2 linked regions of the Yarrowia lipolytica genome follow. The main gene of each other region encodes a partner of the protein of the gene in region 2 in a complex. Links are inferred from orthologs where the notes say so. Each region holds a gene or a part of one and is shown on either strand. Other genes may lie near its edges.

The links.
Region 1: the proteins of YALI1_D29699g (region 2) and YALI1_F21540g are in contact, whole or in part, in a crystal structure (PDB 6JPL), measured with the Saccharomyces cerevisiae proteins. The link is inferred for Yarrowia lipolytica from reciprocal best matches to the Saccharomyces cerevisiae genes RTT10 and TRM7. Residues at the interface, in NP_015142.1 of Saccharomyces cerevisiae: Leu11, Tyr47, Asn48, Lys49, His51, Ala66, Arg67, Ser91, Asp92, Trp93, Cys111, Tyr112, Lys114, Ser129, Leu130, Gly132, Glu133, Arg134, Ile136, Tyr138, Met158, Phe183, Arg223, Trp225, Ser273, Trp275, Asn291, Arg658, Glu685, Thr835; in NP_009617.3 of Saccharomyces cerevisiae: Leu84, Pro127, Asp128, Val129, Thr130, Gly131, Leu132, His133, Asp134, Leu135, Tyr138, Val139, Gln142, Arg167, Gly168, Arg169, Ile171, Asp172, Met173, Tyr175, Lys189, Arg191, Thr196, Leu198, Asn233, Lys234, Cys236, Asp239, Ser242, Glu246.

The regions. Positions count from the first base shown.
Region 1 is NC_090775.1:2,150,567-2,157,699, reverse strand, and holds YALI1_F21540g (uncharacterized protein), read left to right. Parts: upstream 1-3,668; coding exon 3,669-4,607; downstream 4,608-7,133. Other genes in the region: YALI1_F21567g (uncharacterized protein), read left to right, coding at 973-2,187; YALI1_F21547g (uncharacterized protein), read right to left, coding at 2,569-2,910; YALI1_F21504g (uncharacterized protein), read right to left, coding at 4,683-7,133.
Region 2 is NC_090773.1:2,964,531-2,973,526, reverse strand, and holds YALI1_D29699g (uncharacterized protein), read left to right. Parts: upstream 1-3,653; coding exon 3,654-6,326; downstream 6,327-8,996. Other genes in the region: YALI1_D29728g (uncharacterized protein), read right to left, coding at 1-715; YALI1_D29703g (uncharacterized protein), read right to left, coding at 2,935-3,264; YALI1_D29668g (uncharacterized protein), read left to right, coding at 6,728-8,996.

The sequences.
Region 1 (7,133 bases), on a different chromosome or scaffold from region 2:
GCAGTCTCCAAGCATCTCTCAAATAGACAGTCCACTCATGGACCAAGTGACGAACAGTCTCGTAACATCTGATTTTCTTGAATGCAAATCAACGTGGTGGTGCAAGTACAAGTACAAGATACAAGTACAAGATACAAGTACAAGTAGTCATAAGCCCCCTCCTTCAGGAAAAGTCCCCAGTAGCGCTTTTTAACCCCTCCACCCATGTATAATCTGCCATCTGAAACACCGATTCCTCTAAGAGAACATATGCCAAATGACCTTTGTTGACCTTCTGTCGACATCATTAAACAGGTTAAATGGGCTCTCCATAGCCGTCCTAACCTTTAAGAGCCAAGGAGCAGTCTCGTTCGGGAATAAGACTCTATACTGGTGGCAATTGTACTTGTACTTGTACAGCAGATTTATTTCTACCCCCTGACAAGTCACGTGACCGCACTCACAGGTATATCGAGCCAAAGCCCCCAAGCTACAATGGACATACAAGTACAAGCAAGTAACCTACAGTCGAGAATGTCATGATTCTTCAAGTCACGTGAAATGAATATGCACGAGAGTATAAAGTTAAAGGACTCCAACATAGGGAGGACTTTCTCGGTTACTGTACGTCCCCACGTGTAGTTCGTCTCCTTCCCAAACTCATAACCTGTGTTGTCCTCCCCCAGAAGTTAAAACTCCAGCACAACCCGTGATTTAAAGTTTTCGCTTAACCGCACCTTTGACCAATCCAGATAAGACCTAGGGCCTGCCAAAAGATACACCATTGCTATACACCGCATCACGTGGGAATTATTTATCATACACGTGACCAATCTCTCCAAAAAGGAGATTTCCAGGCCGCGTTTGACACGACATTAAACCCTTCGGGTTAGGGTTTCCGTGCAGTGCAGCATCTGTCGAATGCTGAAACGTGCAACGTCTTCGGTCTCCGATAATTGGATAATTCGCCTATAAGTCCCTTGCTAGAACGAAATGAGCGAACGAGACGGATTTCTGGAGCAAGGTGGACGCGACTCTCGTGACCACGTCCACGACTATGACACACGTGAGACCTCTCAACATCGACGTCCCTCTCACAGCTTCAAGTCCGAGACCAAACCCGACAAACGGTATCTATATGCTGGAATCTCGTTGGTGGTCAGTTTGATCGCGTTTGTGGCTCAGACCGAGACAGCCGGCTACGTGGCTCATAACCTGCAGTACAAGAAACCCATCTTTATGCTGTACCTGACACATTCGTCGTGGGTCTTTCTGTTACCATTACAGCTGCTGTTCATCAAGATCTTCAAGCGATGGAAGACCCCATGGAGAGTCTTTCTGCGTCGGCAATACGAGCTCGTGTTGAACACCGCCCGAGCCACTCAAGAACACGCAGGTGACTTCTCCGGTCAACATCCGCTCAAGTATATTATGGTCACATCTTTCTGGCTGTTTGTGGCCCTGTCTTTCGCTGGATCCTCCTGGTACATTGCCGTAAACCTCACCACCCCCAGTGACCTGACCGCCATCTACAACTGCTCGGCCTTCTTCGCCTATGCCTTTTCCGTGCCGATGCTGGGAGAGTCTCTCAAGCCTGCCAAGGTGGTCAGTGTGGTGGTCGCTATTATTGGTGTGCTCATTGTGTCTTACTGGGACACTAACGAGGGAGAAGGCGAGGTCTCTTACCCCCACAGAGGTATCGGAAACCTCATTATCGGAGTGGGAGCCATTCTCTATGGTCTCTATGAAGTCATGTACAAGAAGCTGGCTTGCCCTCCCAACACCATCTCCCCACGTCGTCAGGCTGCCTTTGCCAACGTGGTGGCCTTTTGTATCGGTCTCTGTACTCTGCTGTTCCTGTGGCTGCTGCTTCCCATCCTTCACTGGACCGGCCTGGAGCCGTTTGAGCTGCCCCATGGATCAGCTGCCGGCATCATGATTGCCAACATTGCGTCCAACGCCATCTTCTCAGGTGCTTTTCTGATTCTCATGGCCCTGACTTCTCCCGTTATCGGATCGGTCGCTGCCCTGTTGACCATCTTCCTGGTGGCTATTGTCGACTGGCTTCTGTTCGACACGCCTATTGGAACTGGAGGCGTGATTGGAGGTCTTATCATCATTGGAGCCTTCATCATGCTCAGTTACGCCAGTTTCCAGGAGCTCGGCGAGGAGGCAGAAGATAGTGATAGTGACGACGACATCATTTAAGAGAAGGACGAACTGGGGGATATGACAAGGAATAAATAAAAAGGGGGTAACGCTACAAACTGTACATATTGTGTGCAATCATTACATTAATATGCTTTCCAAAAGGCCATTCATGTCATCAAGGTGGCAAAGAACTGTGTATCACACTGTTCTGTAGTAAGATACAGACACTCCCGGTAGAACATTTATTAACGACATATCCATACAACAACACTACTGGCATGTACTTACTGCCCCTACCTCCTCTTCTAGCCACAGGTGGTTCAGTAGCAACTCTCATATCGTCCAATGTCTCCTTGACTATATACATATCCTCATCTCAAGGCTCACAGGCTCTTGTCTAACATCTCTTTGTTGATGCACATATCCCTATCGCTTCCTCTAAGCAGCCTTGGTGACGAGCTGCAGACCGTGCCACTGCTTGATCTCGTCAGCAAGCAGAGCGTTTACCAGACGATGTTGCTTGACCATGGGGATGCCCTTGAACTTGTCGGACACAATCTGGATGGCAAACATGGAGCCGCAGCCGCCGGAAATGTCCCGCACATCCAGACTCACGGGTTTGAACTCGTCGGTCAGCATCTGGCTGATTTGCTTCTCGTAGTCGTTCAGCTCGTTTGGACGTCTCCACGAGGCATTTCGCGCAATCTGAGTAGTGGAGAAGGGTCGCACAAACGCGGGTCGGGCGGCAAAGAGCCGGGAGTTCATCATTTGTCGCAGCATTGTGTGTGTGGGTGTGTGTAGTTTTTGATGCGGAAAAAGTAATTTGCAGTGGTGATGTTTCAAGGTGGTTTAGGTTGTAGTCCCAACCGAACAAGTAGGTTATCGGGGGGCAAATATCGGAGGGGACAAGGAGAGTAATTAGTTGACTTAGTAAGCATTGCAGAGGTGAAATATGGATGTCACATGATACAGAAAGGTCCGCTGAGTAATATTAATGGCCAAATCTCCTAAATTGTCGATTAAAAGCGCACTTTTAGGACCCATCTCTGAACACCCCGCACTGCGCTCTCTGAACCTAAATGCATGCATCATTACAAATGCTCTCCCGTAATTTGACAGACAAGGGTGTAATGATGAGATGAGAAATGTCCAAGTAGTGTACTAGTTACTTGGCTGACCATAAAGATGGAGAATATACAGTCTGTAGACTCTTCGAGGGCATTGTAGTGTGCATATTAGAGTTTTTAATTTCTTAACTAATTATCAACTAAATTATAAGAAAGTCAGTTTGGATTTCCACCTTCGATTAGTAAGAATAATACCTCTCAGAAATGCAAAAAAAAACGCACTAGCTGAAAATACAAATGGACTCGATTGTTGAGCACTTAAAGAGACAGAGCTGTTTGCACTTCTTTTTATAGAAAGCCGCGTCAAATGCAACTATTGTAGACATTGTAGACCCCCGCCTTCGCATCACCACCACTATCAAACTTTCAGATTAGCTTTTTTATTTTTCACTCTGACTACACTCGACAGAAATGGGAAAAAGCAGCAAGGACAAGAGAGACATTTACTACCGAAAAGCCAAGGAGGAGGGCTGGCGAGCGCGATCCGCCTTCAAACTGCTTCAGCTGGATCAGCAGTTCCACTTGTTTGACGGTGTTCAGCGAGTTGTGGATCTGTGTGCTGCTCCTGGGTCCTGGAGTCAGGTGCTGAGCAGAGAGCTGTTTGAGAAGCGAGGTATCGAGGCTGGCAGCGGTAAGACGGTGGCTGGGTCGACATTTGGAGGCAAGGTTGTCACCGGGGAATCTACTGCTCAAAAATCATCCACCATGGAGAAGGCCAAGATTGTGTCTGTTGATCTGCAACCCATGGCTCCCATTGCTGGTGTCACCACTATCCAGGCCGATATCACGCATCCTCAAACTCTGAAGATGATTCTGGACGAGTTTGGAGGCGAGCCTGCCGACTTTGTGTGTTCTGACGGAGCTCCCGATGTCACTGGTCTGCACGATCTCGACGAGTACACACAGGCACAGCTGATTCTGTCTGCGCTTCAGCTGACCACCCAGCTACTGAGACCCGGAGGAAACTTTGTCGCCAAAATCTTCCGAGGACGAGATATTGATCTCATGTACTTCCAGCTGGGTCTGTTGTTCGAGCAGGTCACTTGTGCAAAGCCCCGATCTTCCAGAGGCTCTTCTCTCGAGTCTTTCATCGTGTGTCAGGGATACAAGCCTCGATCGGGATGGTCTCCCGATCTCGCTACTGGCGTCATGGTCAACAAGGAGCTCCCTCTGCCTATTTCCGAGCGGGTCGTCGCTCCCTTTGTGGCCTGTGGCGACCTGTCGGAGTACGACTCAGACGCTACTTACACTCTCCCTAGTGGAGAGGGAGTTCGAGTCAGCTTGGACCCCGTTCAGAGCCCTACTTGCCCACCATACAAGCGAGCGGTCGAGATGAAGAGAAAGAACTAGAGGGATATATAAAAGAGAAGGATTGGGATGCATTTATAATAGATTTATTGATTAGTTAATACGGGTGACTGACTACTACAAAGTGAAAGTCTCACATAGCTCGAATTCTCGGCTGGAATGACCAATGTACACGGAATACTCGCCTCGCTGCACTCTCCAGCTCTGCAGTTCCACGTCCCAAATGGCCAGATCTCGCCAGTTGAGGTTGTACTCGGTCATCTGAGACTCACCAGGGTTCAGGAGCTTGGACTTGTCGAATCCTCGAAGCTGCACCGGAGGAGAGTCGATAAGGGTTTCAGGGAAGGCAACGTACAGCTGAGAAACTACTCGTCCAGCAACATCACCGCAGTTGGTGGTGTTGTGAGTGACAGTAACAGCGTTAGACCAAAGCCAGGGGTGACCACCCACTCCTCCAGAAGCGTCACTGACATGTCCAGCTCCATTTGCAAAGGGGAACTGAGTCTGAGAGTCCGCGAGGGGCGCACTGGCGTTGAGAATCCAAGGGTAAACAAGACCGTCAATCATTTTAAAGTCATTGGGGACATAAAGGTCCTCAATGTCGATATTGGTCATCTTGGGTTTAGTAACCTGTACAGGAACAGGCCGGGGAGGAAGGAACTCACTAATCTCCTTAACATCAAGATGCAGATTGCTGAAGGAGTAGGTGGTGTATGACAGACCGTAACCAAATTCGTAGAGGGGAGTCCTTTCAAACTTGTCGTACCACTTGTAGTCAAGATAGATTCCCTCCACAAAGTCGGACTGGGGAGCTCCATCTCGAGGGATCTTGGTGACAATAGGAATATAATCAGAAGTATTTGCTGCGATAGTATAAGGCAGCTTTCCTGAGGGATTAACCTCTCCAAATAACACATCAGCGATGGCTTTTCCTCCGTAATCACCAGCAGGAGCAGTCAGAAGAACGGCACTGATGTTGGGGTGGTTGAGCCAAGCGGTCATGTCAACTTGTCCAACCGTAGTGACAACAACGACAGTCTGTCCCTGACTGGCAACTGTATTAATAAGTTCATCGCCATTGTGCCATAGACTGACATTTCGGCGATCCCCAAGGTTCTTATCAACGTTGGCAGTAGACTCTCCTGAATTTGCCAATACATAAACAATATTCACGTCAGTGTCTCCAGCCAGCTCAAGAGGAAGTCTCATATCCCATGACTCGGTGGTTCCTGTCACTGACACTTCAAGTAGAGAAGCCTTTTTGTGGAGAGCTTCGTAAGGGCTTTCGTACTCCGTAGGGTAAGCAGTTCCACTTCCCCATCCTTCGATAAGAGCTCCGTCTGAGCACTGCATGTTTTCCCCACAAACAGCTCCATTGGGGCCAAGTCTAGAGCCGACTCCAAATACTCCAATAGCGGAAATGTTCTTCAGGGGAAGAATACCGTCATTGAAAAGCAGAACAACAGCTCCTCGAGCACTATCAAGAGCAACATTGGCTGCAAACTGGTCTCGCACATCGAGATGGTAGTTGGTGATAACATCCTTGACTTTCTTGGAGTGCTTAGCAGCGGGGTGGGGACTTCCCACTGTAGTGTCGACAAAGGAGGAGAAGTTGGGTGTTCGATCGTCGATCCCAAAGTAGATGAGAGGGGTCAGAATTCGCAGAACCATATCATCGAGACGGGCTTCTGGAAGGGTACCGTTGGCAACCATTCGGGTCAGCTGTTCTCCCCAGAAGACAGTTTCTAACTCATCAACGTCATTTCCAGGCATACTCATGTCCATTCCAGCCAGAGCGTTAGACACTCCGCTTCCCTGAGCAAACCAGTCGGACATGACAAAGCCCTGGAAACCGAGCTCGGACTTGAGCTTTCCGTTGAGCAAGTCACTGTTCTGGCAAGCCTGGGTTCCGTTCACGTAGTTGTAGGAGCACATGACTGAGCCGACATTAGCCCTAACAGCATCGGCAAACGGCCACATGTACAACTCATGTAGAGCTCTGTCTTCAATGTTGGAAGAGACGGCGTCCTTCAGGTCTTTAAATCCAAAGCCGTCTCTCCACTCTTCGGCTCGCCGGTAATGTTCTTGTTCGTTTCCAATGAAGTGCTTGATGGTTGCAAGAACTCCCTCTTCCTGGACTCCAAGAATTGCTTCGAAGGCGAGCTTTCCAGACAGATATGGGTCGGGGGAGAAACCTTCCCAGTTTCTTCCGCCGGTAGCGTGTCGTCCAAGAGGTCCCACCACTGGTCCGAGATGAACATCGACTCCCTTGAGTCTAGACTGACGTCCAATAGCGGTTCCTCGTTGGTGAACTAGGATACGATCAAAGGTGGCGGCCATTGCGTTCTGGCAAGGGAAGACATTGACAAAGTCGGCAAAACGGACGCCCAGAGGACCGTCTTGGAGACACAGGCCCTTGATTCCGAGACGAGGAACAGCCCCTGTGTTTCCAACACACTGCCCACCTCTCCATCCGGTACCGGTGGTGATGTTGACCTTTTCGGGAAGAGTCAATTGGGCCAGGATGTCCATGGACTCACCAAGAGCATCGGCCCAATCACTGGTAAT
Region 2 (8,996 bases):
TGGCCTGTAGAAAGTATTTCTCAGCTCGTCTTTCAGCCTCAACTGTCTTGCTTTTGTGCGCCAAAATGACCGCTCCACAACACAAGACCGAGTACTGCAAGGTCGGCTGAGTCAAGGCAATCACAGGAACGACCTTGGAAAACATTTCCGAGCCACAAAACAAATCCAACATTGGCGCAATATACTCCACAAACACGGGCAGCAGTTCGCTCATGTCTGGATCACGTGACGGCGTCGTGGGGTCGTTGAGAGTCATTCCTTTGGCGGACGAATATGCATATTTGTGTATTTGGGGCGGTCGAAACGCCTGTAGCGGGTTGGGCATGGATGCGCCTAGTGTGTGTGTAATCTGTCCGCCCGCATGTCGATTTGTCGTTGCCACACCCGTTTGTGTAGCTTGAGAACCTCCCACATCATCCATGTCAACATCATTGACAGGAGTAGGGTATCTGGCATAGAGCCCGAGGCCTCCGTCGTAGCCCGCCGCTATATCTCGTGACTCGTCAAAGATCCTTGGCCGCCAGCTGTCACTAACTTCATAGTGAGAGGCGTCTCCCACCTTGCAATCAATGAAGTTGAGTCGTATGCCTCGTCGACACACCTTGCGAGACTTGATGCAGTTGACACAGTCCGGCACTCCCTCGTCGCACTTGAGATGCCGCTCGCGACACGTCAGACAGCCCGTGCGCACTCGCCGGCGTTTTGGTTTGTCCATTTGAGCAGTCGATGTTGTGCGAAAGAGTGCAAGATGGAGGTGCTGATGTGGTGGAGTGTGGGGTCTACTGGAACTGTATTGCGGGTTAGTTGGGAAGTTTGGAGGGCTATTTAATAAGAGTGTGTGTATATTTTCTGGTATCAATCGAGAGCTGGAGACGCGGAGATTCGATTGACCCCGTCGGTTTGCCTGCAGCTGGTCCACAACAGCTTCTGGAGACGGTCCCAAAACATCATAACCTGTTACCCTAATTTTGACTTCTATAGATTCGAGGTGACAGTATAACCGGGCGTATTTCGGCAGCGGGCAAAATCACGGGGAAAGTCACCTGACCAAAAACGCGAACGTCCCCAAGTAGAGGTCACGTGAAAACACCAACCCCCACCCCCAGCCCCCTTTTCTTCTTCTTCTTCTCTCCGACAGAGCCAGATCGGTCACGTGACACACCATTCTCTCCGCCCCGCCTCACGCTGTCACATTCACATACAGCTGCTTACTTACAACTCCAATACGCCCGCCGTTTGGAATGAAACTCAAACAGCTGTTTCACATTCAAGGCAACATAACCTAGAGCTTATTATTATTTGATGAGTGATCGCAAATCGGCCCCGAAAATAGCCGCGATTATGAGGGGAAGGGGAAACAGACCCGTTTCTCCAAGAAGTCGACGGAGACTGAAGTTCGGACTCCGCCCAAACGGCGTCACGTGACAGTATTAAACGCTGCTGTCAAGACAAGTATGTTATGCAGGGTGAAGGTTTCAGGTGTAAGCAGCCCGCCGTAGAAGACAGAGAGAAGCGGACCTCCAGGAACGGCAACAAGAGAGCAACCGTGACGCAGTCACCTGAATCTAATTTCAGATCCAATTTGCTTACTAATTGTGGTTCCAACTGTTCTCAAAGAAAAGGTGTTGTGTGTGTGTATGTGCGTGTGTGGTCTTTTTCTCTGGAGCATTGTCCAGTGACGCACCGAACAGTGTGTACATGCACAGTGGTTCTTAAACAGGCAATGTAGCCAAAGTGCAGAAAAATGGGTTACAGGGGATCGACAAGTGGATCTAGTAGAAAACTGACCAGATAAGGCGAATAATGCTGCCTCAAGGAGTTGATTGCGATTTTCGGAATTTGAATATCTTCAAAAACGACTGATATCCTCAGTGTCCCGGGGTCTGTTCCAAATGAGGTTTGATGGCTCAACAGAAGCTCTTTAGAAAACGGCACAGATGAGATATACACACACGGAGTCCGCGAAAGGATTTCTTTTCGTTCACAGGGTCTCCTGCTCGAAAACCAGCCCGTTCACGTTTGGTCTCCCCTATTAGGAACTTTTCTTTTTTTTTCCATGTAGACACCTAGATTATTTACGTTCTCCTGTTTTCTGCTGCCCTATCTCGTATGTACATACTGTACCATACAGTGTACTCGTAAAAGTACGAAGCCGCCGGCCAATCGGCTTGAACCAATATTACCGGCCTCATGGGGAGGGTCTCGGAAACGTGGTTGTACCTCATATGCTTACGTAAATTTCGATCGTCAGGAGCAGCCGTTAATCGCCGTTGTTGGTTATACACCATTAGTTTGTGGCACGCTGCCGGCAGTCGGGCCGAACATGTACTGTCGGTCGGGTTTAGGGGGCTAAGCCGATGCGGGCAAAGTGGGAGGCCACATATGAACAACAGTGTAAATAGTTCTGGCAAGGACTTCAGAATGTGACATTGTTTCAGAATACATATGCCAAATTACTTTACAGAAATGTAGGGCTGTTCTAGCCTACTTGGGGAGATTGAGACGACAGAATTGGCGTCAAGTGTCTCTACGATAAACTATCAGGCAACTACTATACATACTTGTATACGGTAGATGGTAATCCTTAGAAATAAACATCGTGTAGATGAGTCCTGTACTAGTACTTACTAGTCGAAACAGAGGAAGTTCCTTTTGTTAGGATGGTTAGATGGTGTTGAATTGAGAGAGGGAAGATGTTCGTCAGTGATAAAGATAAGACAGACATTAAAGCCAAGTGTCAGGTCGAGATAGAATAGTTCCATTGGGTATTATAGTCCAAGTTTCAACTACTAGTAAGCAATGGAGTTATTAAGCGATAGAGACAAGATACATATATCTAAACCAGTATATATCTCTATAGAGGCATAATGGTCATACAAGTAGATATAAGTCCAAATAATATACTTGTTGTCCTCGTTGCCGGATCGCCACGTCTCAATCTTGACAGCAACGACATCGCCCAGAGCAGCTTTCTCGGGCCTCTTCCTTGGCGATCTTAGCATGGCTGGCCCGTACACGATCAAGGTTCTCGTACTTGCCTGCTGGAGTGGGTGCAGACGACACAGGCTTGGCAGTAGGTCTAACAGCAGGCTTTGCAGTCTTAGGAGCAGTCTTAGGAGCAGACTTGGGGGTTAAAATCATCTGGCATCGTCGCTTACCATCCATGACAAGCTTCGTGGTGAATCCCTTGCTCACCAGCAACGTCCATTGGTCCAGGGCCTGTTGATGCTTCTCCTGATGCTCCAGACCCTCAGCCTTCCGCATCACCAACTTGGACCAAATCTCCTGTTTCCGGGGAACTAGACTGTCTAGGAAAGTCCGTCTAGAGACATGTGCCAACTAAGCTAAGTAAGGTTTCGTTTTTGTAAAGTAATTACAGACTATGTTCTAACAAAAATACTTAATACTTTAAAAAACTCATACTCATATGGGGTCACTAACTCAAAACTATTGGCAAATAGCTGAAATTATTCAATGAAAAGATCCCCATCTTGGTCAGATGCACAATTGAAACCCTTTCAACCAAGATCCTGACCCCCTATCAACACCTCAATCGACTGCTTAGTAATCTCAAACTCAGCATCCTCGCTACGCTCGTATCTGCATCCCAAAGTTAATCCAAGATTTTTTTCCCCATACAAAATTTCGCCAACATGACTAAAACGAACTACGGAGCAATCACTGCGGTGAAAGCTGTATCACGTGACTGCCTTTACACCGGACAGGGCCGGTCCATCACGAAATATTCTCTTTCTGGGGACAAATGGTGGAGCCAACGGCTTTTTGGACGCAACAAGATCCATGGCATTGATATTGACCAGAAGAAGGGCAAAATGCTGGTTTTTGGAGGAGACTCGATTCTGGTGACCGATCTGGAGTGCTCATCACGTGATGAGCGGTCTGTGGGCGACTGGATTTGTGATGCCAAGTTTGGATCTGACAATGACACTATCTACGTTCTGACTGCTCACAATAGGGTGTTGATTTTGGACAGCGATCTCAAGATCAAGGAGATTGTCACGTGCTCGGAAAACTCTCTGCTGTATTCCGGTTCACTTCACGTGACAGAGGACTCTGAATCTGTGCTAGTTGCCTCGGGAACTGTGCTACATGGAATCTATATTTGGAAGCTGGCTAATGGAAAGATTATGCACAACTTCACGGACCATGAGGGCTCCATTTTCGACGTTAAGATCTCCCCAGACTTTGCTTACGTCATCTCGTGTTCCGACGACCGGTTCGTCAAGCTGTTTGACTTGAAAGCCGGAAAATTGGTCGGCTCAGGCTTCGGACATGGGGCTCGAATCTGGCAGGTTGGGTTTTACGGAGATAACAATTACGTCAGCAGCAGCGAGGATTCGACTGCGATTTTGTGGTCTCATAACGAGTCACGTGGTCTGCTGGAGCCCGCCAAGCAGTTTCCCGGTCACGTGGGCAAGAACATGTGGTGTTTTGACATTCTAGACAAGAGCCTTATCACCGGAGGGGGGGACGGACGATGGCGGGAATTCGACTTGGAGATCGATCACTTGACCGAATATGACTACGATCACGTGATTGGAAACTCTGGTGCTTTCAAGAACTTCATCAACCTGTCCTTTACCAAAACTGCCGTTGGAACTGCCAATGGAGAAGTCTATCTAGTCGACAGAAGCAGCGATGACGTGACCTGGAGCCTGATTTACCAGAACGACGCTTTGAGGTCTCTCAATCTAATGGCTGGATGGCCTGGGTCTCCTTTCGTGGCTGTAGGAAGTCGGTTTGGACAGGTGTTTGTCATCAACACGGAAACAAAGCAGGTTTCGGAAACCAAGGTGTTTGAAGGAAAGGTGTCTGGTATGCTGACACGTGATCTTAGCGGTGCAAAGTACCTAATTGCTACTTCTCAAAACGATAAAGATGATAATGTTCTACTCGAGGTGGGTACGGACACCCAGAAACGGTACAAAGCTATGGACACCTTCCCAGTCACGTGTTTTGACGTAAACGAGAAGGGTAATGTGGTTATGGGATCCAGATTCGGAGCTCTTGCTTACTTTGACACCGTGGATGCAACTCCTGTGATTTTCAGAAAGGCCATCAACGCAGAGACCGTCACTGACGTGCTCTTTACAGACGAGATCCGCGTGACTCTCACCACTAAGAATGGCTTCTATGGTAATCTGGATATTCGCACTAAACAGTTTTCACTGCTCAACAAATCGAGCCAGAACAGCATCTTCAAGATTCTGTGTCTGTCTCCTCTCATCACGTGTGGTTTCAAAACCAACTCGTTCGTCATATCAGACGAGTCTGCCAACGCCCAGTTGTTTGCTGCCGACTGTGGAGGAGCTCATCGAAGCTGGGACGTGCTTTTTGGTGACAACAAAGTGCTGTTCAACTTTGTGCGAAAGTCAATCATGTGCGAAATCGCCAGTAACGTCATCCCTGTCTCGTCATATTACTCCCACGGTCGAGAGGTGCGAGCCATTGACGTCAACGGCTCCGTAGTTGCCTCAGGAGCTGAAGACACCAATGTTATTCTGTCCGAAGTGCGGGACGGCCAGTTGCACAACCTCCTCACATACAGAAAACACACGTCCGGTATCCAGACCCTGAAGTGGGTGAGTCCGGAGTTGCTCATCTCGTCGTCTGCACGAGAAGAACTCTTCATCTGGAAGTTTAATGCCTCCGAAAAGACTCTCACTCCCTGGCTGTCTCTTCCTCGAGGTGATAATCCCGACCTGCGAATCATGGACTTTGTTTACAAAGCCTGCGACGGGGGATTTGAGCTCCTTTGCGTCTACTCGGACTCTTCCCTCCGACTGTGGAAGTACGACAACTCCTCCTTTACTCTCGTGTCAGACCTCAAGTACACTCAGCATTGCCTGCTGAACGTGGATCTTGTCGAAGATGACAAGTCGGCGCTTATCAGTGCCACCGACGGGTCTCTTTCGGTCTATGAGCTGCCTTCTCTGCGACCCAAGAGCCACATTTATGCCCATCAAAGCTCTGTGAGGTTCTGCAGAAAGGGCGAACTAATCTTCTCTGGAGGAGACGATAACAAGCTTGTGGTGACCGAGCTGAAGAACGGTGAGCTGAGAGAGATAGCATCCATCGCTTCTGCTCACTCTAGTACCATCACGGAGGTGGCTCCGTTGGACGGATCAGAAGCTGACATTGTTTCTGTCTCTGTTGATCAGAATGTCCGAAAGTGGAAGTTTTCTGACGGAGAGCTCAAGCTAATGTCGGATGAGTTTACCACTGTGGCTGATACTGGATGTGTGTGTCCTTACGAGGGTGGTTTGTTGATTGGAGGAGCCGGTTTAGATTACTGGACCGAGTGAACTTGTGCCAAGGGAAGATGACCGGCCTTCAAACCTGTGAAGAACAGGGGCGCCTGACTGGGAATTGTTAGTGTGAATGGTATAATAATTGAGAATGCATGGGATAGGACTCCCTGTAGGGTTGATGACATCGGATGTGGTTATCTATGAGAGAATTGTCAAGTAACCTAAACAATAATACTTAAGTTCATCCAAGTATGTTCAAAACAGCCAATATTCTATCGATCGAAATGATTCAAAGGAAATCAAACTGAACGGTGTAGCTAACAAACATGAGAATGTAATCTTATCAACAAAATCGCAGGAACACACCCAAGAGAACTACCTGTAACTGCGCCTTAATAACACCCCCAAAGCATACCCTCTTAATATTGTCACAAACCTTAACCCTATATTTCACCATGCATAAGAAATCAGCCCTCAATCTCGCCAAACATCTAGAAATCATGGAAGCCATCTCAACCACGCGCAATACCGACTCACATGACCTCAAAATTACGCCAATCGACTCGTATCGCACCGATGAAACACTTGACTCAAGCTCTATCCCATCGGTTACGCCACAGCAACTCATAGCCGAGCTTTCAACCAAGTCATATCTACATCAATCGCCCGATGAGCGGACGAGGACACAAACAGAAGCTCTCAACGTCCTTTTGAGCAACCCATTACCTGACCTAGACCACATTTCACCTCTTTTTGCTAATCTCACTGGCTTGAACATTTTGATAGCTACAATCCGACTCTTGAAGAACGACAGCAATGAATATACAGCGGCCAAAATGGACAATTTGAAGACAGTCCTGGGATCGGTCATGGATCTGGGATACGTGGAGTTTCAGAAAGAATCGAGTTCCGCCTACAATAGGGAGATTTCGTCTCTGCTAACTGGATCGCGTCTCTTCAATGGTCTGGTGGAATTCGAATGGAACATTGAACAATATTTGAAATGGCTAGGAGGTGTGATTATATCACGTGACAACACGGCATCGCACGAACTAATCGGTATAATTATCATTTCAGCCCTCAAATTGCACACTAACAACAACTTCATCTGTTCCTGCATCTACTCTTCTGCATTCATTCAACGACTTGTCACGGTCGCTAATTACACGAAACCGTTCCAATTGAAGCAACTGCTCAGTTTCTCCATGAACTACTTCACTTCTGAATTTTCTGACGATGTTCAAATTGCTCCTCTGGCTGAGCTGTTAACACAGCTGAACATTCCAGTCATTGACCTCTTTCGACAAACAAGCACCGTCAACAGCCTGAATATGGTCAAGTCTCTACTAATCTCGGCATCACGTGACCAGTCGATTTTCCAGGAGCAGGTCATGGGTCTTTTCAGTCTATGGGGGTCGAAATTGAACATTTCAAAATCGCCCGTTGCCCTGCAACGTCATCAGACAGAAGTGTTATTCGTGAGTCTGTCTCTGCTGACTAAACCGTTCTTGCAGCAGCTGACTGCGACTCCTGCATTTCTGGATGGCATTACTAATCATTTATCTTCTCCTTCATCGCGGGTTCGAGATTTCGGCATCTTGATTGGTGAAAAAGTCGCTCAATATGGCTCTGTTCCTCTGAATTTCGGCATTGAGTCTTCAGAAGACTGGTCTGGGTTGTCCGTTGACAAGATGGCTGACAATTCACTAAGGCTTCTGTTTGACGCTGAAGGTGCTGATCCGGATGTAAGCATTCCCGACTCGGAGGCTCCGTCCATCTTTTCAGATGTGTTGAGTGAGAGAAGTGCCAAGCCAAACACTCAAAGCAGGTACCAGAAGCTCGGGTTTGATGTCAGAAGTCACATGAAGGATTCTGATGACGAAGGAGAGGATTCTGACGATGAAGACCCCTCGAACAAGACAGTCAGCAAACCAGTGTACATCAGACAACTTTTGGAGTACTTCAAGGCACCAGACGGCGACGACCAGTACGACAAGCTAGATATTGCCCTGAAAACGGCTGCTAGGCTCATTCTCGAAAAGAGAAAGTATGGAAACGAGGTCAAGGTGCACGCTAAGGATCTGGCCAAGGCCCTGGTTCAGTTCAAGGATAATTTCGACTTTCCAGACTACCATAAACATCGAACCCAGGCATTGGTGGTGCTGGTGGGCACTCAGCCTGAGATTGCTCCGTACATTGTGGATTTGTTTTATACGGCAGACATTAGCATTAATGATCGGCTGTTGTTGTTGACGTCATTGTCTCTTGGAGCTCGCTTTGTGAATGGATTCACTGACACTGTTGATGTGAAACCAATGGAGATGAAGAAGTTGCCAGCAGCTGTTGCAGCTCGTTTCAACGACTTGAATATTGGGACCAAGAGTCTCACTGGAACTAGACTTACAGGAACAAGTGGATTGCTTGATTTAAATAACCAGTCAGCTCTGCCAGCTGGAGACGCTTCAGAGGACGGGGTGACAGCTCAGCCACTGAATAGCGTTTCTTCTGACCTCCAACAGACTCTTCTCTCCCCTACAATCGCCGAGTCCCGTGAAAGTGAGGCTCTGAACGGCCCTAAAGTGCTCAGAGTCTCTTCTAGTCTCCAGAAACAACGCCAGGGACAAACAAACACCACCATAACAACCAACCACTTTTCCAAGGTCGCGCATCTATTTATCTTCCCGCTGATCGACTCATGGTGGAAAGCAGGTACCGGAATCATGG